4 linked regions of the Mytilus edulis genome follow. The protein of the gene in region 1 purifies or fractionates together with the protein of each later gene. This does not show direct contact. Links are inferred from orthologs where the notes say so. Each region holds a gene or a part of one and is shown in the gene's direction. Other genes may lie near its edges.

Region 1 (7,821 bases):
TTTGATATGTTTCCCCTTTTGTCATGTTGTGACCTTTTATCGCAGACTACTATACGGCATAGGTTTTACTGAATATTAAAGGATGTACGGTGACATATATATATATATAGTTGCTTACATCCACATCATTTGGACTTTGTTGATAGTTGCCTAACTGCCAATCATATCACATCTCAAATTTTTATATTGTAGGAATTTCATTAAAAAGCTATTTGACTATACCGTCCGCAAGAAGTAAATAAGAACATATTTAGAGGTTTTCTTTTACAAGGAAAAAACACCAGAAGTATAGTTATAATGAACAATTTTAATGACTAATCTCATATCTATCATTATAAAATTACAGATGAAGAATTCTTTAAGGCTACAATGATCTACACATAAAATACAGTTTGTCAAAGTTAAACTGATCTCTCAAAACATCCCTTCACTATTGAACATTTATCATAAAAAAATAAAACAACATTATTTTGTTACATGATTATAATATTGTAGTGATACTGAAAAGTTCACAAAGGTGGTTTAAACTTTTGTTTAGACTTTGTGTAGACAATCTATAGAGCCGCCTGGAGTATGTCTACATCCATGCTCCAGTTCAGATTGTACCAAATTCTTCTCCTCTTCCAGTTCTGACAGGTTGTTGAGAAGTCTCATTCGTCTTGGTATCCAGTAGTTCATGCCACGCCCATGACGGTTTCCTAACCCTCGTTGCTTCACCCTCCATGCATTTGGTATTTTCTTGTTTTCCTCACGCATCTGTCGGAAATGGATTTTCTTTTCAAGATTTTCTTGACGACGACAACGACGCTTAGTTTTCATTTCATCGTTTATATACTCATCTGGTTTATCTTGTGACTCGACGAACATCTTGCGTATATTCTTTTTAAACGGACCATTTCTCAATTGTTTGTCACCGTGGTGACCATTTCGGCATTTACGATCATGACATTCCGCGGTATGATGGTGTGGACCAAATTTACCAAACCGTCTCCCTGCATTAAACCGACCAAATTGTACTGCTCTAGATATTGTCCCAGTGATACGACTTGGACAACTTCTTGCACGGTGATGATTTTTCAGTTTCAGTTTTATCACTGCATTGTCTTTATCTTTACCAAATTTGCCTTCTTTACGTCCGAATCTTCCACGGCCCACCTTTTCTTTTCTTGTAGACGGAGGTCCTGAATTCATACTTCCTTCCTGGTTAGTGGATTCTGGAGTCAAATCTCCAATTTCAAAATGTGCGAGTTTGTTCCTTATGCGCCAGATGCGTTTTTGCAGACGATCGTTCTCACCATTTTGATTCTTGTGGCCTTCAGTTCTTGTGTTTAATGAATGTTCCATTTCTTGTTGTCGCTTCAACCATTTTTGTTGTCTTCTGTTAAACCAGGCTTCCATTTCTTCATTAGATTTCCTCTGCATTTTGTTTCCATGACGACGATGATAAAATCTAAAAGATTCAAGCGCAGATTCATAGTTACCTGGTCTTATTTTGAATATAGACCGCCCATTATTCTGGTCAACGTTGAAATCAGGAGACTTCTACAAAAAATATACGAAAAATAGGTCATTATTATAAGTTCAACTGAGAATTTAATTTTATATTGCACGCAAGAGTAGTTCGTCTTTTTATTTATATGGATGTTAAACAATTTAATGTATATAAATTACTTTCAAAACATGATTTGTGTGATAAAATAGGGTGTATTCAGATGGATATGTGGCTATACACATTTATAAGACTACGAAGTCCGTATTTGAGTTTCTGTCTGTGTTTTTTTTCATCGTTTACAAATTGGTTAATTGCTTCTAGTTGATCATTCAGTTTGTTTCGGTAAGCAAATAAGAAAGTTGGAAGTTCCTCTTATCTTAATTTTACTTACCATCATTTGAGCTTTGTGCAGCCTTCTCCCAGCTTCTTTCTGTTTATTGACTGTGTTACAATATTTAAGCTGGGGTACACTTTTCATATATTTCTGTTGGTCAACTGAAATAAATAAATGTATAATTTAACATGCATTGAACTATACATTATAAACTTACCCACATAAAATATTCATGAATCAAATATTTCACACAAAAATTACATTGTAAAATCGAGATTTCGATCTGAATAATGTCATTATTAATTCAGCAAAAAGTTCTAATTGCAGTTAAACAAGAAAAAGACAAGATAGTAGAGCGATGCATATTGCAAATCAAAAGCAGTGATATAAGCGTATCAATTTAATGACTATTTTAGAGGCGAATTTAGGGGGAGGGGAGGGGTATCCTGGAAAAAATGGTTGATTATATAGGGAACCACTGAAGCATGACTAAAGCGGCCCCCTATTAGGCAGACATTGTACCCCTTATAAAAATGTCTAGATCCGCCTCTGATGACCGTGAAAAATAGACGCAATTAGGATTTCATTTCATGTCCATAGCTATGAACGATGTTCTATAAGAATTTATTTTAAGAATTTTATTAATCTAATCAAGAACCCATAAAGGGCATCATTTTACAACACGATATGATTGGAAAAAGCAAAACAGAAAACTAATACCATACTATAACGTTATGGACAGGATCAGAGCCTAACAGATCATGAAACTATTTCTGTTTTATCAAAATCAATTGCTCTTTCAAGAACAAGAGACATGATAAACTAATTGTTTATTACTTCTATGTGATTCAAATGTAGATGTCTCATATCTTCGGGGCTGACGGCCCTCGGATACGAAAATCCTACATCTAATACATGTGCGATGATTTTATATTCGGCACTGATATGTTAAACGAACAAAAGAGACCGAAGTTTGAGCAAAAGAATTTCTATAACGAGGAAAATTCCAACATATACATGCTTATAAAAAATGACACAGCTAATATGATTTTGTTTGTATCAAGATTTTGGATTCTGTATCAATAAAAATCTCTTAACAGAATTTATAGTTCTTAAATCTATATTTAATAAGTTATGTTTTTAATTTTTTCAAGTCTTTATCTTTTTTTTTTTTACCTTTTCAGGCACTAGACATGAACTGCATATACGATAAATCAAATGGCTTACCTGTGACGAACATTCTAAATATACCACCGGAGACACCTTCCAACGCCTCTTGTAGTTCTTCGTCTGAAGAAAATGAGACAAGATCGCCATCAGCATCTACAATTGATATAACATGGTGATTAATTACTCCCTGTTTTATGAAATTAATATTATAAAATCATGCGCATGTGGCCTACGATGCAGACACTGGCAACCCTAAGCTTTTACTGCTATAATTGATCACGTATTTCACTCCAACACAGATCACATAAGTTTTGAAAAGGGGTGTACATTATCTCTCTTCTTTTAAATAAGTTGAACAAAATAGGTAAAATAGTTCCCCATGCATAAAACAAAACCAGCATTTTTCACATTTTTAATTCGGATTTAATTGGCAAAAAAACAGCAAGTTTCAAAAGTTTCTTTTGTTCATCACTTTTATTTAATTAAAAGAGCAGCACATTTTATTTCAATCACGTTTCCGTCCATTATTTTTTTCCATTATACTAGAGCTCTGACATTATAAATTAATAAACAAACAGTTTCAATATATACATATTTTGTCTTTATTTAAATAAATATTTTCTATATAAATAACTTATATTTACTTATCTTTCATCGATCTATCTATATATATATGTGTATATTTACCTGAGTTAATTATAATATGTTAACTTACCTTTCCACATTAGTTCACATTTATCTGTGAAAATCTTGGTAATTTTCCTCTTCAGGAATTCATAGCTCAAATTTTCATCGACAGTAAATCGTCGGAATTCAGAGGTTTCGTCTTCTTTAATAAAGGCTGCTTTAATTACGAGCGGCATTTTCACAGTTGATTCGAACTTTATTTTCGTCGCTACAAATGCGCATTTAAACGAATCATCGCTTTTTATACCATTCATCTAACATGTCCCATGACCGTGAGTCATAGACGAAAATAGATGAAAAGAATGTTCTAGAACAACGATGAAATACCTCGTGATGATGAGTCAACGGTTTTTAAATTAGATGAAATCGAATAACGTCATTCTATTTGTACAACTTATTAAAGGTTTACAGTGAGTCACGCGGTAGATGAATAGACGAAAGAGGATTGTATTTGTTCAACTTATTAAAGGTTTACAATAAGCCACGCGGTAGATGAATAGACGAAAGAGGATTGTAAAGAATCAAAGAGAAAAATTTGGCAATTTATCAAAGGAGCAATTAAACGATTTAAAACGTTTTATTTAAAATTAAGGTTACAGAACATTTGAGGGGCCTTACTAGGTAACAACATACACATTATTAACAAATATTACTTTTTTTTATCTCCTGAAACAAGGAACATATTTATTTATTGATATTAAATTCAAAACTGAAAGGTCACGAGTCATTCACATGCAACCGACAAAACAGGGTTTCCAAAAATATTTGACCAGGTTTATTGTGATGAAAATCAGGTTTATTGTGATGAAAATTTTCGAAATATCATAACTAGTTTATAAGCAACTAATATCAAACTAGCGTACACGGCAGCGCCTTACTTAATTGAAAAGATACACATTAAATATGATAGAGAACATGCAAAAAAAAAAAAGATAATCACAAAATTCATCCATTCCTAGTCATGATCAAGATATGTACATGTATGTAAGTTTGTGTGTGTGTGAACTTGGGGAGGGTTGAACTTTTTTTACATTTGGGTTCTTAAATAAACGGGAAGAAATTGTACTATTTAAAGTTCACTCCCTTTTAAAACAAAACTGTTTAGACTAACACAATAGTATATCACAAACAAACAAACATATTTAAGTACACCACACAAATACGATAATTATATAAGTTGTTTTTAAGGAAAACGGAATAGTTTTATCAGATATTTTTTAGGAATATTGTTTATTTACAACTCTGTATATTTGGCCGATTTGATCCATTTCTAGTTTGTACGGATGGGCATATGTTTTTTTGGTGTTTTTTTTTTATGAAATTCAAGGTACACTTGAGTTATATAAATAATCCTTGCAGAAATTTTCAGGATTATAGAGTTCTCTTAAAAAGTAGGACTCAACATAAAGAAAAGAAGGACTGGGGGGAGAATGTCACTGTGTGTGTACTATATATATATTTTATTCTGAAGAGCCTACTATAGAAAGTTTTACTATTAAAACATTTTCTCCAAATATTGGAGCGACCCATATTATACGGAGATCAAGAGTACTTTGGGAGTTGCATATCATGATACTGCGGTTGGCCTGGTAGGAACTGCTTATATTCAACATTGACAAATAAAAAACAAAACATAGAATGAAAATGAATAGCTTGTCAAGCAAAACGTAGAAAATGTAAAAGTGAAATAAATTAAAACAATACAGTTTCTCATGAATATGATTTACACCTGATGGATTTAGTGGTCGAAAAAGGGTGGGGTGGTCCCTCTTATATGAGCTATATTTTTTCATAATCCTTGTCATCATCTGAATCGACACAAACATATATCTCCTATCTACTCCTCCCCAGAGAATCGTTTATAATTTAATTTTCAATTTGTGACAAATTAGCCTAACAAATCTTACTATACAAATATTTGATACAATGTGAAAAAAAATATTTGATATAAATGGAAATTGACATTGCTAATTGTTTGTATGTCAGAAATTCAAGAATAACGTATTCGTCATGGTCATAAGTTTCTTATTCTCTGTTCAATTTCGTCGTGTCATTTTGTGTTGCATAAAGAGGAAACATGTGTGCTACTAAAAATAGACATGACATCGTTGTTTGTTGATATTTTTCAGAACGGAACTTGCGCATTACACTCATATTTGAACAAATGTTTGTCATCATTACTTTCAATTACCTGGTCTAGTTGGTTCTGGAATTAAATCTTTCGTCGATTCATCGTCATTCATACCTGACAACTTGGGCTTATAAAAAGAGAAGAGTTGACGAATTTAGACATAACTCTATTTGGTAGCAAAGTGGACACAACGTCAACAACAACAATTTCCCGCGAAGATGTCATTGACAGTAAAAGCCTATTTGGTAAATAAAGGAGAGGAAAAGAGAGAAATACGTAGATTTGCTGTGCCTGCTGATGTTTCAAGCAGCTTCAGCTATCTTCAGAAGAAAGTGGCGGATATTTATCCTACCCTAAAGCAAGGAAATTTTAATCTATATTGGACTGGTAAGTTGATTTTGATTATTTTAATTTACACTATTTACAAAAGCGATATACCTGTACATTTGTACATAACATGATATACTATAATAGGCAACCAAAAGATTAACTGTATACGGTTGTATGCAGCTGTTATAAAACTGATTGCTACATGTAGTAAATAGGATAGAAAATAAAAACAATCTTGTCATATATATATATAACACTGATGGTTTCACGGATTTGATATATTCCATATTTTCGATGCAATATGTCAATTTATGCAATGAAAGGAAGCTTTTATAAATTGAAATGCTGTCTGTAAAAAGGTTTATTTATTTTGTCTAGGTATTTTGAATTTCCATTTTACTTTTGGTTAAGTTTAAAATTAATTATGTAATTTATTATGTTCTGTTAAATGCCCTTGATGTTTCATCATATATATATATAATGTTGTATACCTGTACAAAAATGTATATCCTGTATAATTTGTCTAATAATAGTTGACCTGCTTTCAAACCAGGCTTATTGCAATTTAAAATGCTGCATTATTAGTTTGTTGAATTTAAAGTCATAAGAAACGAGTGACCGGTGAAAAATAATGTTCTTCCAATTCTTGAAGTAATGCATACAAACATCCTAAACCTCGTCTTCTGTGCTCCAATTTATCATTTTTTTCGTGTAAATTTCGTATAATTGTCAATTTTTTTTCTCAATCGGTCAGTGTTGTTGTGAAAATATGGCAGGTAATTAAAGTTCGTGTTTTGAAGCCGAAGTTTAACGATTGTCACCTGTTTGTCAACAATTGACGAAAAATAAACAAAAAAGCATGGAAATTGAGCACGTGTTTAACATGTAAATTCAGATAATAGTTTATTTTAAGGACATCCATGCGTATTGTGGTCACCGGATTTTTACGAGATGGGTCACACTGAGGTCACCTTGCATACGGAAAATATGTCGGGGGAATAGCTTGCTGGAAGGAAGCTATTCAAATAAAGTAAACTTCTTCTAAATATGAATAAATTAAAGAATTTTCTTCAGAAAAAAGTATATGTACATAAGTTTTATAATGAAAACTATCCATTGAGTTATAAAAATCATATGCATTATTTTTTTTTTTGATTTGAGGTTTCTTATGACTTTAAAGTGATCAGATGTTTAAATAATTTTTTATAACAAGATTATAATTCTTTTTCCAGTCATTGTTTCAATAAATGCAAGAAATTTTTAAATGTTTTTGACTCTTGTTCAATTAATCTTAATTATGTTTAAAAAATAAGATTGATTGAAACAGAAACAAATGCATGTTAATTTCCACAATAGACAATGAATGAGTTCATGTACATTTTGAACATGAATATATATATATATATAAAAATTTCCTCATGTTTACAAGGAAAACACTATTGAAACTGAAAGCTATAAGGAAACAATTACTAATATCTGAGAATAGTATGCTGACTATATATTATGTCCCTAATATAATTTATCTAGACACTCAATTTATTTGAAAAAAGTGGAAAACCCATTGCAGATTGTTCTAAAATTGTTGAGATATTTAAAGTTTCTGGGGCAGACTTAATCAGGAATTACATGTACCTATCTTATTTATTTTAGATCCGGAGGGTGACCAGATTGCCTTTT
Region 2 (7,247 bases), on another chromosome or scaffold:
TTGAAAAGGGAATGATTCCATAGATATTTAATTAAAAAGAACTATTAGAGATATTACAAGTCACAATCCATTACCTACGACCAAAGCTTAAATCATTCGCACTGTATTAGACTGTCAAGTAATTTGGTCCACTTTTCAATGATCGTCTATCAAAAAGACAACGAATTGGCTTCAGCATTCTGAAAGATTTCAACACGAGGCATCACCGAACAATATGCATTAGTCAAATATAACATTTCAATACTGGTATCTATGATTAGTTTATTTCCATATGTTGTATAAGATAATGAAAGTGCATTGACACACGATCATGTTGCATCTTCCTTTCTATCTTATTGACTTTAACATTATCAACTATGCTTGTCTTATGGAACAGCAGCAACATCAAAAGCAATATCTGGAAATGTTTGTATGTCTTACCATAGTAATTGTCCTATTTGGACCTCAATAAAGTCTGGTCTGGCGGCTCTTATCCTGTCCTTAACTATTAATAATGTCTTCAACATTCTGACATAGTAATTCTGGATTAGAAAAAAACTATCATTGTCTTAGTTTATAGTCTCAAATATTTGAAAGATGTACAAGACTATTTACCAACCTATGACAGAACACTAATCAAGGATACAACACCATTTTGTTCTTCGAAAAACTGGATCCTTTCCAAAGAAAACCAGCTACGTTAAGTGCTTAGACACAAGTCAAGCCTTTGTCATCATGTCAACTGAATACTGCTAAATCAATTGTTGATACTGTTCCTCCACAGTCTAACAGTGTTGTTTTACACAGTTGCAGCAAGATCATATACACGTTAATTTCGGCGCAAGACTTTACCATTTTCGTTAGCTTATTTGGATGTCTCGAGTAGACTTCTCTTCGTATCTTTTTTTCCTTTGACGGAAACCAGTTTTAACGTCCACTGAATTGATTGAACATTTTGTACTGGCAATAATTGACAATATCAGTCCTAGAGATTGTTTTCACACATTTGAGAACTCTTCTATTTCTCATCTAAAAAGTAAAACAAACAAAAAATGAACTCCGATGAAATTCAAAACGGAAAGTCCCTGATCAAAAGGCAAAATCAAAAGCTCAAACACATCAAGTCTTAAAAACTGAGCAGTCTTAAAAACTTTTTTCTACCAATCTAGCTCTTCTATGCAATTCAATCTCCAATTCTTTCATAACATTATACCTCAGTTCTAATTTACAGTTTTGACCTTTGTCCTCAACTTCTTCATTGTGTATTCTCCAGTGTCTAGTTGTGCATCTTCATCATCTGTAAATCCATATGATTAAACAGTGTATCTCCACTCTCAACATCTGACTTGTTTATAACTGTTAAATCATTGGCTCTTCTTATATAGCTGATCACCTCTTGCATTTTCTGGCTTACTGTATTCTAGTGTGTACGTGCAACATCAAAATCAATGTCTAGACATGTTTGTTTATCATAGTAATTGTCCTATTTGGACCCCAATAAAGTCTGCTCTGGCGGCTCTTACCCTGTCCTTATCTATTAAAACTGTCTTCAGCATTATGACATAGTCATCAGTAATTCTGGCTTAAAACAAATCTATCATTGTCTTGGTTTTGGATCTAGTCTCAAATATTTGAAAAATGTACAGCACTATTTCAAAATCCTCGAACAGACCACTAATCATGGAATGGATACAACACCTTTTTTCTCGAAAAACTGGATCCTGTCCAAAGAAAATCATCTACATTAAACTGCTTAGACACAAGTCAAGCCTTTGACATGTCAATTGAACACTGTTAAATCATTTTTTGATACTGTTGCTTAACAATATAACAGTGTTGTTTTACACAATTTCAGCAAGCTCATATACACGTTAATTTAGGCGCCAGACCTTACCTTCTTTGGAGGTCTCAAGTAGCTAGACTTCTTTTTGAAACGCGCATCTGGCGTAAATACAAAATTTAATACTGGTATCTATGATGAGTTTATTTGAAACCACTGGGTCGATACCACTGCTGGTGGAGTTTTAATTCCCCGAAGGTATCACCAGTCCAGTAGTCAGTACTTCTGTGCTGACATGAATTATCATTGATATGGTCATATTTATAAATTAATTGTTTGCCAAACTTTTGAATTTTTGATAGAGTAAGGCTTTTCTACTTCAGGAATAGATTACCTTAGCTGTATTTGGCAAAACGATTAGGAATTTTAATCACGATGCTCTTCAACTTCGTATTTTATGTGGCCTATTTATTTTTTTTTGGATTCGAGTGTCACTGATGAGTCTTTTGTAGATCAAACGCGCGTCTGGTGTAATACAAAATTTAATCCTGGTATCTATGATGAGTTTATTTGTATCTTTTCTCGTTGACGGAAACCAGTTTTAATGTTCACTGATTTAATTTTTTTACTGGCAATTGTTGACAATATCAGTCATAGAGATTGTTTTTACACGTTTGAGAATTTTTCTGGATCTCATCTAAAAAGTAAAACAAAAAAATACTGAACTCCGAGGAAAATTCAAAACGGAAAGTCCCTTATCAAATGGCAAAATAAAAAGCTCAAACACATCAAGTCTTAAAAACTTTTTTCTACCAGTCTAGATCATTTATGCAATTCATTCTTCCATAACATTATCCCACAGTTCTAATTTACAGTTTTTACCATTGTCCTCAACTTTTTCATTATGTGTTCTCCAGTTGTCTAGTAATGCCTCATCATCTGTAAATCCATATGACTAAACAGTGTATCTCCACTCTCACCATCTGACTTGTTTATAACTGTTAAATCATTGGCTGTTCTTATATTAATAGATAGATAGCTGATCACCTCTTTTATTTTCTGGCTTAATGAATTCTATTTTGTACGTGTTCACATTGCCTTTCAAGTAGCCGAGCATCTCTTGTTTTATTTTCACCAGAAATTCTTAAATTCATCATCTGATTCTTCTTTTAAAATTCCATAATTTCCTCCTATATATCTTTATCTGTCTGAATTTCAAGATCAAGGTTGTCTCCATCATCAGTATCAGGAGGGACGTTTTCACGATTTTAAAATTCTACCATACAGGTTTCCATTAGTAAAATTGATACCAGAATGGCAAACACCCCCATCATAACTATCAGCAATACTCTTTTCTGCAGACTCTCCAATAGTTTCTTGGCTTCCATAATTATCAGTAGAGTGAGTAACCCATATTCGCCGCATAATTAGTTCATTTCCACTTACATCCGACATACATTTGAATATTTGGAACTTTTTATGTAGGTTTCAGAAATTTAACTATATGAAAAAAATATTTGATAAAGGAATTATCTTCAAAACATTAGTTAATTGTTCTATAAATGAACGCAAACTCGAGAGGAAATCAAGTTGTTCGTGTACCATGTGAGGCACATTTTCGCCGCAATGTATGGTATGACCATCCTCATTATCCTGGTATTTTATAAAAAACGATGTTTGTAATTAGCGTGAGAGATCATTCCTATACGATTTTTCTCACAAATATTTACATTAAGACTGCCGGTGTGCATGATTGCCATATAAACCTTACATAATAGCCAAAAATTGTTTAAAAATACCTGCATATTTCTTTATATGTGCGAATAACCTTTGAAATGGGGTTAAAGAGGAATATCAACCGTTCGAACATTTCAAACAGATTTTACAATCTATTTAGGCAAGTACTGGTAAATTAAAGGCACACAAATTTTACAGAAAAAAATAGCAAAATGGCGAAAATGTGTCCATGGCGAAAATGGGCCCCCAACTCTATCATGAGTTTTTTTTGGGGGTATCCTAGCTGTTGATCCCTGACTGTTACAAGGAATGGGCAGTGGGAATGGGGATAAGTCTGGATTCAAAACATTTTTTTATCTGCTTGACCACAATTTTTCCCCCATCAAATTGGGAATCAGAAGATATTTTTTTTTGAAAAAAAACAAAACCCCCTCCCCATTATTGTATAAAAGTTGAAGTTACTGTGATGTTTTGTGAAGTTACTGTACATCACCTTGTTCTATGAAAAACTCTAGACTAAAGGCCTGAATGTACACAGTGTGTAAAATATCACAAAGGAACAAACTTTATGGTAAGTAAAACGAACATACGAAATCAACTTGTAAGATTCAATGAACAAAGGTCACAAAGGGAACTTTAATATCAGAGAGTATTATCTTATTGTTTTTTCCAAAGGATAGTTTGAATTTCGCGCATTTTATGACTTCGCCTATTTAACCGCCATCTGACGGAATTAAAAAACCGGAAATGAGATGCACGGAAGTTAACTTGCCATAATAATCAGACGCAATGGCGAAAATACACAACCCTGTATAAATATTGAATTTACCATAACATGTTCAATGACAGATTGACATTAAGATCAAATTCAAGTATGCCCACAATTTTTAGTTTTGCACATTTGATATTTAGTCTGAAACACGTCGAATTACTTCATTCAACAGTTGTACATTCCATCACTGTTCAGCTGCTGAAACAGAAAATGAAAATCGATCATACATTTGCAGATTGTAGACACATTAAAATTACAAATATTTACCACTCAATTATGAACAACTTCAGCACATTAAAACATTTACTTCTTCAGTCTTAGCATTATCAACTCACTTTTTGCAGGAGAACAACATAGTCCAAATAATTATGACGTCTTGAAAGGCTATTATAATTTTTTTCTTTGAAGCCTTAATGTAAGGCGTCAAAGAAAAAAATTATAATAGCCTTTCAAGACGTCATAATTATTTGGACTAGAGAACAACAGTGAACAGAAAAAACTTGAAAGTTTATATATTCATAAATCAAAGAAGAGTGATGTGACATTTTTGTCAGTGATTTAGCTCAAACATTATTTTAATATAATCAAACTTCACATCTTTAAAACAATATGTTATTACTACAAACCCTTAAGTAATAATATCACAAACCTAAACTGTCAAGGATGAGGGAAGTTAATGTATATAAATTTCAGAAATGTCGGAGGGCAATTCACATAGAGGATTCCCGTAGTTGAAAGAATTTGAATCAATCAAATGCAAGTAACAAGCCTAACTTAAAATTGCACAGATAAGAAGACAAATTCAGGTGTTCAACTCATCTTGTCCACTTCATGTACGCTCTGAAATTACATACTACTCATAGAATTGTTGTTTATTTCAATCTGTAGAGTGAGAATGAAAATTATCGCTAGTTTCTAAGGTCCTTAGCAACAGCGTATTAATCTAATTCATGCGCTAGAGTCTCGGCCAATCGGAAAAGATTAGCCGGAACTATAAAAAAAAATGTTATCGGATGACTGCGCTGAAATGTCAACAATAAAAGATGATTTATTCCGAGAGATATCGAGTAAATATGCAAGTCATGCAATGTCAAGGTCGTTAAAAACTTTCATTTGTTGTTGAACTGTTGACGATGAAATGTTCCATCACAGATTTTTTCCCCGCTAAGCGACACAAAGGTGTGGATTTTTATGATAAAACAATTTATAACGTTTGCATGCATTATTTTTCAATTTGTTCTGTTGTGTTTTATTAATAGTCGCGAATGAATCGATGACATAATTGTCAATTTGGTTCAAATGCACTACGCTGGATCAAAGATTCGACAGCTAGTCAATATTCCCCGATCGGGAGACAGCCTCCAGATCTAGAGATGTCTCTAAATTGGGAGACATGGAATACATTATTTGTCTCCTGATTTGATATGACCCAACAGGCCTGAATACTTCAAGCAAATACGGAAAATTTCCTACGATAAAGGAATATTTACAAATCAAATTTGCTGTCAGACAGAATCAAAAATATAATTTAATTTTGAAAAATTAAGTCACACTTAACAAGAATACATGTAATCATGACACTAAGACTTAGTAGTTAGAAAACATCAATTGAGGGGCAATACAGAATTTGAACAGTATGCTCAATTTTGTCAACGTTTAAATTATAGCAGTATTCAAACTCTTAAAATTGTGCAGACAAAATTTTTTAGAAAAAAAGTTCTGCTGGTAGTATGTCAATTTGACAAGCATGAAAAATTGTCTTAAAATTCACCAGATGCCAGGATTTTGAATCTAGATTTCAAAAAATTTTCGGGGGAAAACCCTGCTCATTTAAAGCACTTAAAAAGACACATTTTTCTAACAAAATCCATTATATTATTAATATGACAATACTTTACTTAACAGTAGTAATTATTCATGTACAAATGTACACAAATGTAGATTCATTTTGTTAATGTAGAAAATACTTTTGAAGTGACATAATCCATATGGTTCTTTCTCTCTGATGATCTTTTAGTGTTTTTTTTAATTTGAAAATAAAAAACTGTAAAGAAAAATCTTACTTTCTTGATCTTGTTTTTCAATAGCATAGGTAAATCAGTTTGTTAAAAATATTTTGTCTTTTACAATACTGATCAAAACTTAATTAAAGCACATATCTAGCAGAATGATTGGACAAAATGGATCTGATTCTATATAACTACCAGATAAAACCAACAAAAAAATACTGATAGTTTCCGCCTTCTTTCAGAATTTCGAGGGGTATAAATAATAAAGGAACAGAACTAGTTTAAATTTTGTGGCTATGAATGGAATTCTGTTAGCAACCAAACCAAAAAAATCTCAATAAGGTTTCAAGACTTCTGTTTAAGGGCATCCGATACAGTTTCTCGATATAATGTCATTTTTATAGTTTTGAAATAAGTTGTAGGCCTTGGCGAGTTATAAAATAAAACACAAAATTAAACATAGGTCACCGTGCTCGTTTTCGAAAAAATTGGGGATTTGTGCAATTTTGTAAAAAAGGTAGGCAATGTTATAAAAATTTTGGAGCAAATATTCTTCGTCGTAAATTATTAAGATCGGGTTCAATTTGAAGCTGTGATAAGTGACAATAAGGGAAAAAATAAATCCCTACACGACTGACTATACAATTATTCAAGCTTTGCTTGACATTGCGGACCAGATGTTCAAAGTGGCATTTTTTTAATCCCAAAAATATGAAAATAAAGTGTTTCTGAAAATGTCATTTTTGTCATTTTTCTGCATAAACTGCATTTTGTCATGCTTTCTCCAAATCTCAAATAAAAAATATATGTCACCGTGCTGGATTCTATGCTAAACACGATTTATCCTTAAAATTGCATCCACCCCTTTGTAACCTCAAAGTTGGTGTTAAAGTGCACGACGTCGCTGGCAGACTTTTACGACGTTATCGCTGCAAATTACCGGCGACATTTTTCAGATGTTTAAATATTG
Region 3 (7,023 bases), on another chromosome or scaffold:
AGTAATTCTTACAAATGAGTCGGATTATTTACTTCATATCACCATATCAATAAAAACTATTTGAAAGGGGCATCCCCCTTTTTTATAGATTAAAGCGTTGGTTTTCCAGTTTCCATAGTTTTACACTAGTAATTTTTGTGGCCCTTTATAGCTTGCTGTTCGGTGTAAGCCAAGTTGTTGAAGGCCGTACCTTGACCTGTAATGGTTCACTTTTATAAATTGTTACATGGATGGAGTAGTTTCATTGGCACTCATATCACATCGTCCTATATCTTTTAGTTACGAATTAAACAAACAATTAAAATTATGATTTGGGAGTTCAGATACTTATTAATAAAGGCAACAGTAGTATATGCCGCTGTTCGCAAAAAGCGGGATATAGAAATCGTATTATGCCATTAGCAGTCACGCTGTTTAAATTCCCTCAAAATAAGCTAAGAATTAAAAAGACAACATGGATTCTGTGTATAATTGTCTTGCAAGTTAATAATTCAACTTTTATGCATACTTTAATTTTAACCTAAAGTGAAGACAGTACCCTATGCGTTCAGCAATTAGTTTCATCATAAATATGTCTAGTATGACTATCTTTGGCTAATAAAAAAAACCATATACATAAAACGACGTCACACAAGAATGACAGATTCAACGATATAAATTTCAACTGGCAAATGCAAAAATCACCGGTCGTGCGAAACTTTCAACGCAGTAGTCATGGCCGTTAAACACCCCTTAATAGATCAAGAACTATCTCTTAATCATTACATGCATTTGAATCATTAACTATTTCCTGATAGAATAAAACTCTAATAAGTATTAAATCAAATTAACATATCACAAGCAGGTGAATATGTTCATTATATAACTTTGAACATAATCATCAGTTCTTAAACTGAATAAATAATTAACCCTAACTTTCAGACATTATTAATATCAATAATTATAATTATATTTAAAGTTGACTATTATAACTAGGAAAGATACGTTGCCATAGCATCGTTATATAAAGCGGTCTCGCCTTAATGTGAATAAATATAGACCTGTAATTTACTAAATTCATAATGTTGATATCTTTGATAAGTTAAATTAAACTTAGATATACTTAATATTCATGTATAGTATCAATCAAATGTGATGCTGAAAAAATATCAGCAGCTGTTTTAATATTTAGAAATTAATTGACTGAAATAAATGTTTAATTGTAACGTTAATGTCTAAATAGTAATTTGTCTTGAACTTTTGGTTCTTTTTCTTTATCATAACAATGCGAACCTCTTCTTTAATATGTGTGTCTTTTAATACACCAAACGCCACAGCAACGACATATGATGCATTATATTACCCCCCCCCCCCCTTTTCTTATGTATATACCATTTCGTTCATTGCAACCATTAAGGCTATCAGAACTGAATAGAACTAGTTTCTGTTATCACAGAGGTCGTTCTTCTGTTAAGAGTTTATAGAGAGAAAGACTCAGTGACAAACCATGTTACAGTGATAAAAAAACATTATTTTGTTTGTAAGGCCAACTAAAATTAATTAGTAGATTTTCATCCAATTTTTTTCAAAAAATGGGGCGGGTGGGAGGATTTTATTTTTTAAATTTTATTTCATATGAAACCATTTTGTGACGAGCTCTTCATATATGCAAGTGTAATAATAAGCTTATATCATGTATGCACAGGTATGAGGAATCTTACGTTATTTTTCAAATCCTAAAATAAATGTCTCTAATTGCGGCTAAACAACAAAAACGTGTAGAAATGATCTCTTCAGTTGGACCTTCTACACCAAATGAATTTGGGTTCCTAAACGATGGTTTTTAGTCCCCATAAAATGAAGCAAATGCATTGGTATGCAACACAATTATTATGAGTACAGAACTAGAAAACTCAAACAGTGTTGAAAATAATAGGGTTGGTACTTATGCATTTATGCAAAATGAAAATATAATTACCATGTAAAACACATGTGAACTTAATAATAAAAAAGAGGTTGTTGTTTAATTACCCTTTTTGGGTATTGGGACAATTTCTGTTAATCAACAAGAAAAGACAGTCATGGCTAAAATCTAAGGGCATGTGTAAATAAAAAGCGTATGTTAGTCGACTTTTTAAACTCAATATACAAGTTCGTGTTTGTGTTTCAATATCCTTAATCCAGTCATGTTTTCTGTATCAATGGGTACCACGAGTTTAGCGCTTGGGATATCTTTCTCATTTAAACTTCCTGACACAAAGTCATTGCATAAAAAAATTCAGTTTTCTAATCACAGAAATTTGTGACATGGCCGCGATTTGTGGTCTAGGACACAGCGTTTTTCTCGTAACACGAATATTTAACTTCATTATCGTTATCAGTTTTTACTCTCAGAAGATGATGTTGTCATCATAGAGCAGCAGAATATGTCGACAATCATTTTGGTTAGATTTACTCGAGGTACAAAACCGAAATTTGAAACAGGAAGTCATAATTGAAACGAAATTTTTCACGGTTATCGGTAACGGAAACCAACAAAATCCGTAAATCGTAAATTTTATAAAATAAAAAAAATCGGGGCGGGACGATTTCAGAGGGGCGGGCGGGGATGAAAATCTATTAATTAATTTCAATTGGCCTAGTTACCAGTATAACACTAAAACCAACCCTGCAGTTTGTTACAATCAAGTATCATAAAACTCTCTTTGTCTCTAAAAATAGCCAAAACTATAGGAAACAAACTGTCAGTGTCAATATATATATATATATACCAACAAATCAAAGCCTCCTCCATCAATGTCTCGGTTAAAAACGACTATAGTGACGTCACAAACAATATTGGATGAATGAAGAGATTTATTACACTGATTTTATTATATTAGTTCAGGGGAGAAATCGAGTCTGGTGAAGAGGAACAATCCTGTACTGGAAATCAACACACTGGCAAAACCCCCCTTTTTTATCAACTCGCCCACATTTACTGTGTCAACTATTATAAGTTATATGGTTTGTTACAGTACTGACCCCCTACGGATCCATAGAGGGTTAGTAAAATCCATGAGGGTTTGGATGGGGTTAAATGATTAAAGAATAATGCCCTTAAAAAATAAAGATTAGAGAATAATGAGCCAAAAAATAGAAGATTAGAGAATAAAAGGGTTAATTTTTGGAAGATTAGAGAAAAAAGGGGTTAATTTTTTAAAGATTAGAGAAAAATGGGGTGAAAATTAAATGTTTACAGAATAACAGACCCCCCCATCCATACCCTCATCCATAGGGGCTGAGGCCATATGCTCACGTACGTCCCAGAAAGGTGGCACTGTATTGTGATTAGTTAAACGGACAGAAAGTCACAGGACAAAAAGTCACAAATTTGGTAGGACAAAAATACATATATTCATTTTTAGTGTAGGAAATGTGTCATTATGCTTGAAAAATTAGGATTTATTTAATTTTAATCATGCAAATGAAAGATTTCTTGGCACTATGATCTTTGATATTTTTTTATAAATATTTGTTAACAAAGTTGGTTTATGTACAAAAGTTCAAGAAAAATACAAAAATATTTTTGTAAAAATAATCGTTTGTTATTCAAAGAAAATAATCAGAAAAAATGAATTGTGACTTTTTGTCCTGCGACTTTTTGTCCTTGACTTTTTGTCTGTGACCTTTTGTCCTGTGACTTTCTGTCCTAAATTCGTGTGATTATTGTGGTCGTTATTTTTTTTCTAAGTAGGACGAGTTGGTAAAGAAGAATGGAGTGGGTTTTTTTACGAACTATAAGTCGATTTGTTGTGGGACGATTTCAAGAAGGACGAGTTGTCGTTGATTCGATTTTTTTACTCATAATTCCCGCCTTTACAACTTGTACTTTCACTTTCGATATCGACCACAAATAGTCTTTAACAATCTTTAACTTTTCGATTTCGAAATGTAATATATCAAAATCTATTTAAAATATAAAAATATTTTACAATATAACGAAAATCGAATGTGATGGAATAAAGCTGTTATATCATACTAAATTAGAGACTACGAATGTAAAAAAGTAAACATGGCCGATGAAAAAAGCATGACACCTTACTCTGTCAAATTTATTCTTTTCCATCACATTGACAGTTTGAGATAATTGCAAATAACATATTTGTAAACCTCTTTATTCAAAATGTCAAGTGATTTTGAACTGACGCCTTTGATTGATGAAGATGATGAGCTGTCCGACTGGAATGTTCTCGTTGCCTTTAACGAACTTCGTCACTGGGAAAAAATTGAAGGGTCAAAGAAAGTTACCCAGACTTGGAGAATGAAAGAAAGGGTGCATATTCCATAATTTAAAGCTGTTCTATCTAAAATGTTCACTTATACCAGCAATTATTTAATTATAGCAATAATAATGGATTCATGATGTTCATTGAAAAAGGCTGTCTTATTTTGTACAACATGTATGGCCAATTTGGATTTTATATGCTATGAGATGAGACTGACACACAAATCCCTGTCTGTTCGCTCCCATTCACGTTCACGCTCAGTCTTGTTCGCACCCTATCACTTTCGCACCCTACACTTTTGCACCCAGAGTCCGTTAGCACTCTACACGTTTGCGCCCAGTTATTTTCATTGGTTTTGTGTTTAATGACTTTGTAATTAAGTTTTGCCAAGTGTATTCCTTTACATATGTACGGTGCAGTCCGGTGTATCCGCGCACCTAAGACTTATGTCTTCACTTCATTTAACTGATAAAACCAATAATTGGATAATATTGTGTGAATACATTCATAACATACTTTTATTTCATAAACTTATCAGTTTGTAGGGTTTCACCCTCAAGATTTTGTGTAATGGGTTTCCAAAATTGGGGAAACCCATTTCTGAGAGTTCCTCCAATGTCCGGTGATTTCGCGCATGCCTTCCAAAAATAGCTTATTTTGAATAGAGGAAAGATTTGCTGCTACAAAAGGTAGCTAAATTCAAACCAAGCACACTGCCAATGATGCAGAGCAAAAATTATTTCAATTTGATAAAAAATTGACTTAACCCTTTCACCGATTGCTGCCCAGACAGAAGCTACTCTGAGACGATAGCTTCCCTGGCTACTTTTACTCAAGTGGGAGATCTTCATAATAAATGTCAATAAAAACTTGTTTGTAGTTATTTGTGTATTTATTTCATTCACTAACACAATGTTCACAGTTTTGTTTATGTTTTGATAATTTTTTTATCATAAAATATTCAAATTTTCAAATTTTCGGCATTATTTATGTGAAATTCTCAAAATTCTGCTCTTTGACCCCAAATCGTAATTTTTTAACTCAAAACGGCAAAATTTTGTAAAAATTTATGAGACTGTACAAATTCCTCACACTGAACGATGTCCATTCCAAGTGTTTTGTACATAAAACGACATTTTATGTCAAAAAAGTATACTAGTTTGGCTTCAATTCTTCCATATTCTTTCAAAAAAAATGTTCCCTCATTTCAAATTCTCGTAAATTCCGTAAATTTCCTTCGATTTTGACAAGGTTTTCAACAAACGGAAGCGACATGTTTACACTTTCATCCGGGTATTCATGAAAGAAAGATAACTCATGTTTGCACTGTTTTGAGCGGGAAATATAAAAGATGTATTCTGATCCCGGTAAAACGGGACTCATCGTCAGCTGTCTGAAGCGTAAATCCCGGTAAACCGGGACTCATCGGCGAAAGGGTTAAGTATAACAAATTTTATCTGATGCTGAATTTCTTTTAATGGCCATTGGCCAAATATTGTAAATCACGGGATTGCAGTTATTATTTCTATCTGGAACTTATCTATTTTATTCTTTTTTCTCCCTTCGGAATGCTAAAACAATAACAAGAACAATTTCATTTGTGTTACGGTGTTGATATAACTATATCAGCAAATGCGCGGTATCACCGGCCGCGCGGACACCGGGGACTCCACTGTATTCCAAGTATAATTTTTTGTCATTGTCTCAAAACTTTGTTTTTATGTTGAATAAATCTTTATGTCTCATCATTTTTTGTGTGTTGAATAAATCTAAATCATGTTTTGGATTGTGTAATGTATTGTTTAAATAAAAAATCAGTTTCTAAATAAAGTGAGATTCTGTCAACGTTTTTTTTTGTTGTTGTGTTGAATAACTCTTTATCATGTTTTGGTTAGTGTATTGCTATAACTTTATATCATTGCTTTAAAATAAACAGATAAAGTGAGATTCTGTTTTTTTTTCAAGTAATAACAATTTATATCTTTCGTGTTTTTCATTTAAAATCTTCAATTTTTTAATCATACCAAGCCTTTAATCATGTTAATACATGCAGTATTTACATCAAAGCAATTTAAAATTGGGCGCGAACGGGCTTTTGGTGGGAATGTGTAGTCCACCAACTGTTTCACTATCCAGTCAACAGTAAACACTGAGGTGTGACAATTAAAGTAGTCCACCAACTGTTTCACTATCCAGTCAACAGTAAACACTGAGGTGTGACAATTAAAGTAGTCCACCAACTGTTTCACTATCCAGTCAACAGTAAACAATGAGGTGTGACAATTAAAGTAGTCCACCAACTGTTTCACTATCCAGTCAACAGTAAACAATGAGGTGTGACAATTAAAGTAGTCCACCAACTGTTTCACTATCCAGTCAACAGTAAACAATGAGCAATTAAAGTAGTCCACCAACTGTTTCACTATCCAGTCAACAGTAAACATTGAGGTGTGACAATTAAAGTAGTCCACCAACTGTTTCACTATCCAGTCAACGGTAAACACTGAGGTGTGACTTTTGGATTTAACATCTGGTAGCAGATGCTATAGACTCCAATCTTAATTGAAAAGGATCGTAAGTTTACTAGTATGTAAAAGATGCCATATTTGAGTTGCCAAATCTTTTTAACCTATGGTTCAAATTTTTTAAATTTTTTACAAGATGTTCACGATCAGGTTGGCCTAGTTTATCAATGAAAAAAAATAAGAAAAATTAAACGACAGGATTTTTTTTGGGTATAGTGTTGGGTTACATGTATCTTTTAAATTGAAAATTA
Region 4 (7,364 bases), on another chromosome or scaffold:
AAGATTTTTATACGACCGCAAAAATTAAAAAAAATTTGGTCGTATATTGGTATCACGTTGGCGTCGTCGTCGGCGCCCGAATACTTTTAGTTTTCGCACTCTAACTTTAATAAAAGTGAATAGAAATCTATGAAATTTTAACACAAGGTTTATGACAACAAAAGGAAGGTTGGGATTGATTTTGGAGTTTTAGTCCTTACATTTTAGGAATTAGGGGCCAAAAAGGGCCAAAATAAGCATTATTCTTGGTTTTCGCACAATAACTTTAGTATATGTAAATAGAAATCAATGAAATTTAAACACAAGGTTTATAATCATAATAGGAAGGTTGGGATTGATTTTGGGAGTTGAGGTCCCAACAGTTTAGGAATTAGGGGCCAAAAAGGGGCCCAAATAAGCATTATTCTTGGTTTTTGCACCATAACTTTAGTATAAGTAAACTATGAAATTTAAACACAAGGTTTATGACCATAAAAGGAAGGTTGGGTTTGATTTTGGGAGTTTTTGGTCCCAAAAGTTTAGGAATAAGGGGCCCAAAGGGTCCAAAATTGAACTTTGTTTGATTTCATCAAAAATTGAATAATTGGGGTTCTTTGATATGCCGAATCTAACTGTGTATGTAGATTCTTATTTTTTGGTCCCGTTTTCAAATTGGTCTACATTAAGGTCCAAAGGGTCCAAAATTAAACTTAGTTTGATTTTAACAAAAATTGAATCCTTGGGGTTCTTTGATATGCTGAATCTAAAAATGTACTTAGATTTTTTATTATTGGCCCAGTTTTCAAGTTAGTCCAAATCGGGGTCCAAAATTAAACTTTGTTTGATTTCATCAAAAATTGAATAATTGGGGTGTGAAAAAATTGGGGGGGGGGGGTTAAATTTTTCTCATTTCAGATTTCATAAATAAAAAGAAAATTTCTTCAAACATTTTTTTGAGAGGATTAATATTCAACAGCATAGTGAATTGTTCAAAGGTAAAAAAAATATTTTAAGTTCATTAGACCACATTCATTCTGTGTCAGAAACCTATGCTGTGTCAACTATTTAATCACAATCCAAATTTAGAGCTGAATCCAGCTTGAATGTTGTGTCCATACTTGCCCCAACTGTTCAGGGTTCAACCTCTGCGGTCGTATAAAGCTGCGCCCTGCGGAGCATCTGGTTTTATTTACAACAATATTGTTTATTCAATGAATCAAATCGTGGTATGATATCAGATTATTACATGTCATTTTACATATCGCATGTATTATCGGCCCTAGTTCAATATCAGACCAAGACAAATGGACATGCCGTCACCAAACACATATTCATCCAAAATGACATGTTATGATCTTTTTATCATATGCTTCAACAATGGAGAAAAATAACAGCTAGAATCATATATTCATTCTTTTACGTGGTTCCCAAATAGAAGTTCAAAGAGTGAAAAGTTCACGGACGTCGGACTCCAAATTTCATACTTTCGATATGAAATCTTTCTATCATATGCCTCAAGAAGAAGAAAAATATTTTGAATGGACGAATCAACAAACAAACAAAAAACAATTCAACAATATAAATAATGAACACTGTTTGGAAAAGTCAGCTTTTCTTCAAGTAACTTTCTAAATTATGTTTGAAACTTTTAAAAAATGCATTTATATAGTAATTTGTTTGTTGGGATTTTTTTTTAATTTTTTGTTGTAATTATTTTACACAATATACTTTCAAGTATTCAAATATTGTTTTGTGCACTACTTTGTAAATCAATGTTTTTCACTGAAAACGTAGCATTGAGGTGTAATTTCCGGAATTTGCCGAATATCACCGGAATGCCACGCGATAACGTTACGGAAAGGCATGTGATAACAATCGAAGCATGTGATAAACTTTTCATATCAGCCCGCTAAGCACTAATTCGAAAAATATGGAAGTTGCGTTAACTTAATGCTATTATCATACAGTAAAAATCGTATGTTATTTAGTCTAAGTATATGATAAGTTATGATATACATTTAAATTATAATATAAATTTAAGTTATTATGAAAATTTAAGCTTCTGATCATATAAATTTAAGTTATAATATACATTTAAAAAAAATATAAACAAGTGGATACAGAAACTCTCGTCATGAAACATTGCCTATTCAAACTTGCTTTAAAAAAGAGTCTTATTTGCAGTTCTTTTTCCTCAGTCCAAATGCCGATATTAAAGTCGCAGGACCGCATCACACAACAATGTTCCCGCGTACTCAAATATTCTTTTATACCATAATTCATGATTTAAATTTAATAACGTTGAACTTAATATTTTCCTGGTACTATTACATGTATAGTATACTGTTCGTTTATAGTCCAAATTATGAAAACCTAAATTCTCATTTACTAAGTATTCAAACATTATTCTTTATTTACTTTAAACAATACAGTTTATCAGTATAATATGCTTAAATACACAGTTTACAAGTTGTATAGCGTTAACATACACATAAATAAAAAACGTCAGAAATATCAGTTACATATTATACATTTTGTGAGTTTCAGACTACATATAATAAACATAGGTCTTAAGGTGGTACCCAACACTTCCACTAAAATTAAGTTGGCTCGTTTAATTTTCATAAAATTTTAACAAAGTATTTACTTTGACCCTCTGACAAAAATATCAAAATTTCAAAATATTTCAACCAATCGTTTTATCAGAAAAATTACACTGGTTATATAGCAGTTTGACAAACACTAATTTTGATCATTGAGAAGCTTAATATTCCCTTAACAACACAACGTTATTAAAACATTTAGCAGATTTTACAGAGTTATCTCCCTGTAGTGTTAGGTACCACCTTAAATATTATTCCTGCACTTAAATGCATACTAGAGTAAGTACTTTCCTAAATTACAGAGTTCCTTAGTGTTTTCAACAGAAAGCAATTGTACTAATTTATAAGTTGACGGTCTAGTTCAATAATATTTCTTGATAAACTTTTTATGTATATCATTATTTTGTAAGCCTTGGATTGATTCTGACATCAAAATCATATCATCAGCATACATCAATAAAAAAAAAAAGTGTTATGTCCTGAAATTCAAGTCCACAGTTACCATTATTAATAAATTCATTCTCAAAGTAATTGACATAAAATGAAAATAAAATAGGGGAAAGAACTTCCCCTTGCATTAAGCCAAGATTATTAGAAAAGTATTTTGAATTAAATCCATCAAATATAATACATAGATCTTACATTGTTATACATTGATTTTAAAATATTAAGCAATTTTCCTCTGATTCCTTATTTAGAAATCTTGTACCACAAACATAGACGATCAACTGTATCAAACGATTTTAAAAAGTGAACAAGGCAACAATTTAATCTATTACCTTTACAAAAAGAATTTTGTATGACAGAATATAAACAAAACACAGCATCTACTGTACTGTAACCAGTACGGAAACCAAATTGTGCATCAGATAAAATATCGTTCATTGATGCCCATTTTAGCTACTATTCAAAATAATAGTGAATAGTTTACCTAGATTGCTGACATTAGACTTATACCACGGTAATTTGCTGGGTGGTTCGCATCCCCAGATTTAAATACTGGCACTAGAATAGCATCAGACCAAGTGGACAGAAGATATCCAGAGCTCAAAACGGCATTGAAAATGGTACATATATAAGGCAGCACAAGGTCCTTAAACTCGATGAAAAATTCGTTTAACAAACCATCTGGACCATGACTTTTTTCGCGTTTTAAGTCATGTATAGCTTTAATAATGCCATGCGCTGTCACTTATAAATTCTGTATAATAAAAATAATATTTATGATTTCATCTTGTCACGTTACAGTATAACACATGTAACTTATAGCATGTATAGTTTAAGTTCAGTAACAACATTTTAACATTCGTTTTATTTCGGGGTTGCTGTCTCATTAATATATGAAATGAAGTCAATGTTCGCTGTTTAAGTTAAAGTACATGAGTCATGTCTTTTTTATACCGAGTTGGATCACTCATTTATATCATTTAATTAGTAATAGCCTGAGCTAGCCTAAATATAACATATGTATGTATACATAAGAATTTCCTTGACACAAAAGTTTGAAATATTGAAAATGAAAGTAATGTTGGCTCATACCGCATTTTATTTAAAAATTTTATAAAAATGTTTTTTCTGCACCAAGCCCGCCTGTGTGTATGTACTCAATTATTAATTATTGTTTTATAAATAAGCTCAACCCAATTGGAACCCCGCCTCCAGGTCATGTTTACACGAATGAGTTGTTCCCCCTTAACATTAGCATTTCTCTAGACTTATTATAGTTAGTGATACTAAAAATCCGAGTTAAATTTCCGGAATGTTCTAGGTGTCGCCCTAGTCGATTGTTCTAGATCATTGAAGCCAAGTCGAGAATAAGTTAAGAAACTGGCTATATAAGGCTTGTAAATTCGAAAAATGTACAATAACCAATATCAAAACAGTAGAATGATGGATCTACCTCCCGGATGGGAAATGCTGACCGATACACGGACAGGATGGCCATATTACGTCGACCACAACACACAGAATACAAGCTGGGAAGATCCGAGATTGGTATGTTTACACTTATATTTGAAGTCTTTACTACGTAAAATCAGCATATTAATATAAATATATATATATTTGTAATGCCTTATGAAGTGATAAAAGCAGGAACTCGTACATTATAACACCACAATCTAAATTCACGGAATTGTGTTCAAAAGAGTGTCTCAGGGGGTGGGGTTGTTAAATTTTTATTACTTTAAATGTATATGGGGGTCTTCTTCACTAAGGTTTCCAGTCTTCCATCTGAATAAAGATGATTCACAACTGGTGCATGCATGAGGGTAATAACGCCTTTTAACGTCAGGCGTCAACCAGTCATTTTTCGGCTTCCATTACTTTTCAAATTGGTTAAAATTTACTGTAATTCGTCAAAATATCCTTATGGTGATTCGTCAGAGGTCTCAAACAATAATTGTTGCTGTCAATTTTGGAAATAAAAGAACGTGATGTTTAATCGTCTAAAAGAAAGTGTACATTTTATGTCATACATATAAAATTACCGTTAACGTCATTTGGCAAGAATTTTACCGTTTTTCGTCATGAAGGTACTCCCATTACAACACCTCATGCATGGCCTTTGTGATGAATTTGCAACACTCAATCTGATATTTCAGATAGTATAATGCAGTATATGACACTTAAAATTTTTGAGGTCATTGCTTATCCTTTGTCATGTTTGTGACATCATACTAACCAACAGACAGTCACACTGCACAAATCCTACACTGAAAATATTTGCAATACACTGATACAACTTTAATATGTTTAAAGGGGCATAAGCTGTCAAGATCATGTTCATGGATTTAACCAATGTTCTCATATTGGATTTACAGCTTGCCTTTCCATAATAAATAGAATCCATATATACCAGTCAGAGCTCAGACATTTATAAATAAGTCTGAATCTGCTTTTAACTCATAGAGGTCTAAATTTGCAAGTTTTAAATTAGGATTTGTCTCCCTTTAATGCAAGACAAAATACGACTTTAATAAGTCAAATATTGTTAAGCAAGAAATAATTGACCAGAATCAAAAAGTGGCAAATATCGACTCCTACAAGTCGATAAGTGATCAAAATTGGTTAACTTCAAGACCCACGCATATTTATTTAGAGGTCATGCATCTAAATCAAATAATGACAACATTGAAAGACAATGCTTTGTCTTCTAAAGAAAAATATGAATGAGAGTCTAAAAAATCGGAGATAATGTTAATTAACCTTACAATGCAACCACCTGGAACCACACTTAATGAGGTAAAATATCTGTGTTTAGTAAGGATGTTCAATTAGACAATTAAATATAGATAGCTCAAGTCCTTGTGAACTCTCAGACAGGTTTTTGCTGTCATAGGTGGTGTAGTTTGGCCACCAAGTGAAATTAAGTTTTTTCATCAACACAAATAGACCTAAACAAGTCTGTGGTTCATGGTACAAATGTACATGTAGATATAAGAAGATGTGCTATGAGTACTAATGAGACAACTCTCCATATCCTAGTCACAACTTGTAAAAGTTAACCATGGTTCCTGACATATGACAGGTGCAAACAAATGCAATGGGTTTAACCCTCTTGCCGCTGGAGGGACACATGTCACTGTCCACACCGACTGTGCCGGAGGGACACATATGTCCATGTTTTTATTCATGCAAGCTTCTCCACAGTGATGTATGTTTTTCAAATGAAAATCTAAAGATCAAACATGGTTATAAAAAAATGTATGTTTCATCAATGGGTCCCAAGTGTTACAGATATTATTGCATATTGTTGGACATCTTAAGTCAAAGACGTTGAGCTGTCATATTTTTTAGCACACAAAATGCAACCTTGAAAATCAAATGGCAGCAGGAGGGTAATAAAGGTTTTAATAGGAACCAACCTTCACCCTTTCCTGAAATAGAAAAACATGTACTACATGTATAGAATATCAGTTGAAATGGCTTAACTTATAAATGCAAGACAAGTGAACATACACTGAACAAAGAAATTTATTAAATCCAGATGACACAATGTAAATACAAAATCAAAATCATAGTTTAAATTTAATGTACTATTATAGGTTTGTCCAAGTGACAGATTATCTACATGAGCCATGGAAACAGAGGTAGAGATTGACTCAGTGTTCTCCCCAGGCCGTTTTAGCCGACGCAATATTTTTTCACCGTGATGCTATAATAATTCCCGCGACGCTATAATTATTTTGAAGATGCTATTTTACTTGTCCTCAATTTTGAACTTTCATCTATCATCGATTATGATCATAAAAATTATATCACCTTTAATTGTAATCCCTTTAAGTCGGACACTAAAGGCAATTAAGAGATTAAATAGCTAGGTGTTAATTGCCCTCAGGGTGATAACTGTTTGGATGTGAATATCCCAAGCTGACACTTGTGACTAAACCAAGTGTCACCAATTTCGACATGGAAAAATGCAATCACAAAACAATTCGAAATCTATGTTTTGTATTACGAAATTTCAAAGATTGAAACGATTTTTTTGATTTTTTTAAAGATCGTTTATTTGTGCAACTCTCCAAAAATAACTTTTTTTCTCTTCCGGTAATACGAGAGCGAGAATTTTGGTTTAGAGCTAAAATAAGTTTAATACTTCTGTAACAAGTTATCATAATTGGCTTAAGTTTATGTTAAATCCATTCAATGCATTAAAAGCGTCTTATTCATTCACAATCTCTTGTCAAACAATGTTTATTCTCGGACTCATTTTTCGTAAATTTTCTACGGCCGCCATTGCACATTTTTGTGTAAACTACGGATAGGAACCGTACCAGATAT

Evidence for each region.
Region 2: the proteins of sequestosome-1-like (region 1) and WD repeat and FYVE domain-containing protein 3-like purify together in Homo sapiens (affinity purification with western blotting; 4 studies listed by BioGRID and IntAct, with this or other methods). This does not show direct contact. The link is inferred for Mytilus edulis from reciprocal best matches to the Homo sapiens genes SQSTM1 and WDFY3.
Region 3: the proteins of sequestosome-1-like (region 1) and regulatory-associated protein of mTOR-like purify together in Homo sapiens (affinity purification with western blotting; 3 studies listed by BioGRID). This does not show direct contact. The link is inferred for Mytilus edulis from reciprocal best matches to the Homo sapiens genes SQSTM1 and RPTOR.
Region 4: the proteins of sequestosome-1-like (region 1) and BAG family molecular chaperone regulator 3-like purify together in Homo sapiens (affinity purification with western blotting; 3 studies listed by BioGRID and IntAct, with this or other methods). This does not show direct contact. The link is inferred for Mytilus edulis from reciprocal best matches to the Homo sapiens genes SQSTM1 and BAG3.

Annotation. Positions count from the first base shown.
Region 1 is NC_092351.1:5,214,355-5,222,175, reverse strand, and holds the start of sequestosome-1-like, read left to right. Parts: upstream 1-4,809; 5' UTR 4,810-5,272; intron 5,273-5,787; exon of another isoform or gene 5,788-5,812; 5' UTR 5,813-6,032; coding exon 6,033-6,201; intron 6,202-7,794; coding exon 7,795-7,821. Other genes in the region: uncharacterized protein, read right to left, coding at 535-1,542, 1,884-1,987, 3,054-3,149, 3,712-3,937. UniProt on the Homo sapiens protein: Molecular adapter required for selective macroautophagy (aggrephagy) by acting as a bridge between polyubiquitinated proteins and autophagosomes.
Region 2 is NC_092352.1:34,272,036-34,279,282, reverse strand, and holds the start of WD repeat and FYVE domain-containing protein 3-like, read left to right. Parts: upstream 1-4,239; 5' UTR 4,240-4,368; intron 4,369-7,247. UniProt on the Homo sapiens protein: Required for selective macroautophagy (aggrephagy). Acts as an adapter protein by linking specific proteins destined for degradation to the core autophagic machinery members, such as the ATG5-ATG12-ATG16L E3-like ligase, SQSTM1 and LC3.
Region 3 is NC_092352.1:4,899,678-4,906,700, reverse strand, and holds the start of regulatory-associated protein of mTOR-like, read left to right. Parts: upstream 1-3,996; 5' UTR 3,997-4,144; coding exon 4,145-4,294; intron 4,295-7,023. UniProt on the Homo sapiens protein: Component of the mechanistic target of rapamycin complex 1 (mTORC1), an evolutionarily conserved central nutrient sensor that stimulates anabolic reactions and macromolecule biosynthesis to promote cellular biomass generation and growth.
Region 4 is NC_092355.1:71,848,517-71,855,880, forward strand, and holds the start of BAG family molecular chaperone regulator 3-like, read left to right. Parts: upstream 1-4,342; 5' UTR 4,343-4,439; coding exon 4,440-4,577; intron 4,578-7,364. UniProt on the Homo sapiens protein: Co-chaperone and adapter protein that connects different classes of molecular chaperones including heat shock proteins 70 (HSP70s), e.g. HSPA1A/HSP70 or HSPA8/HSC70, and small heat shock proteins (sHSPs), e.g. HSPB8.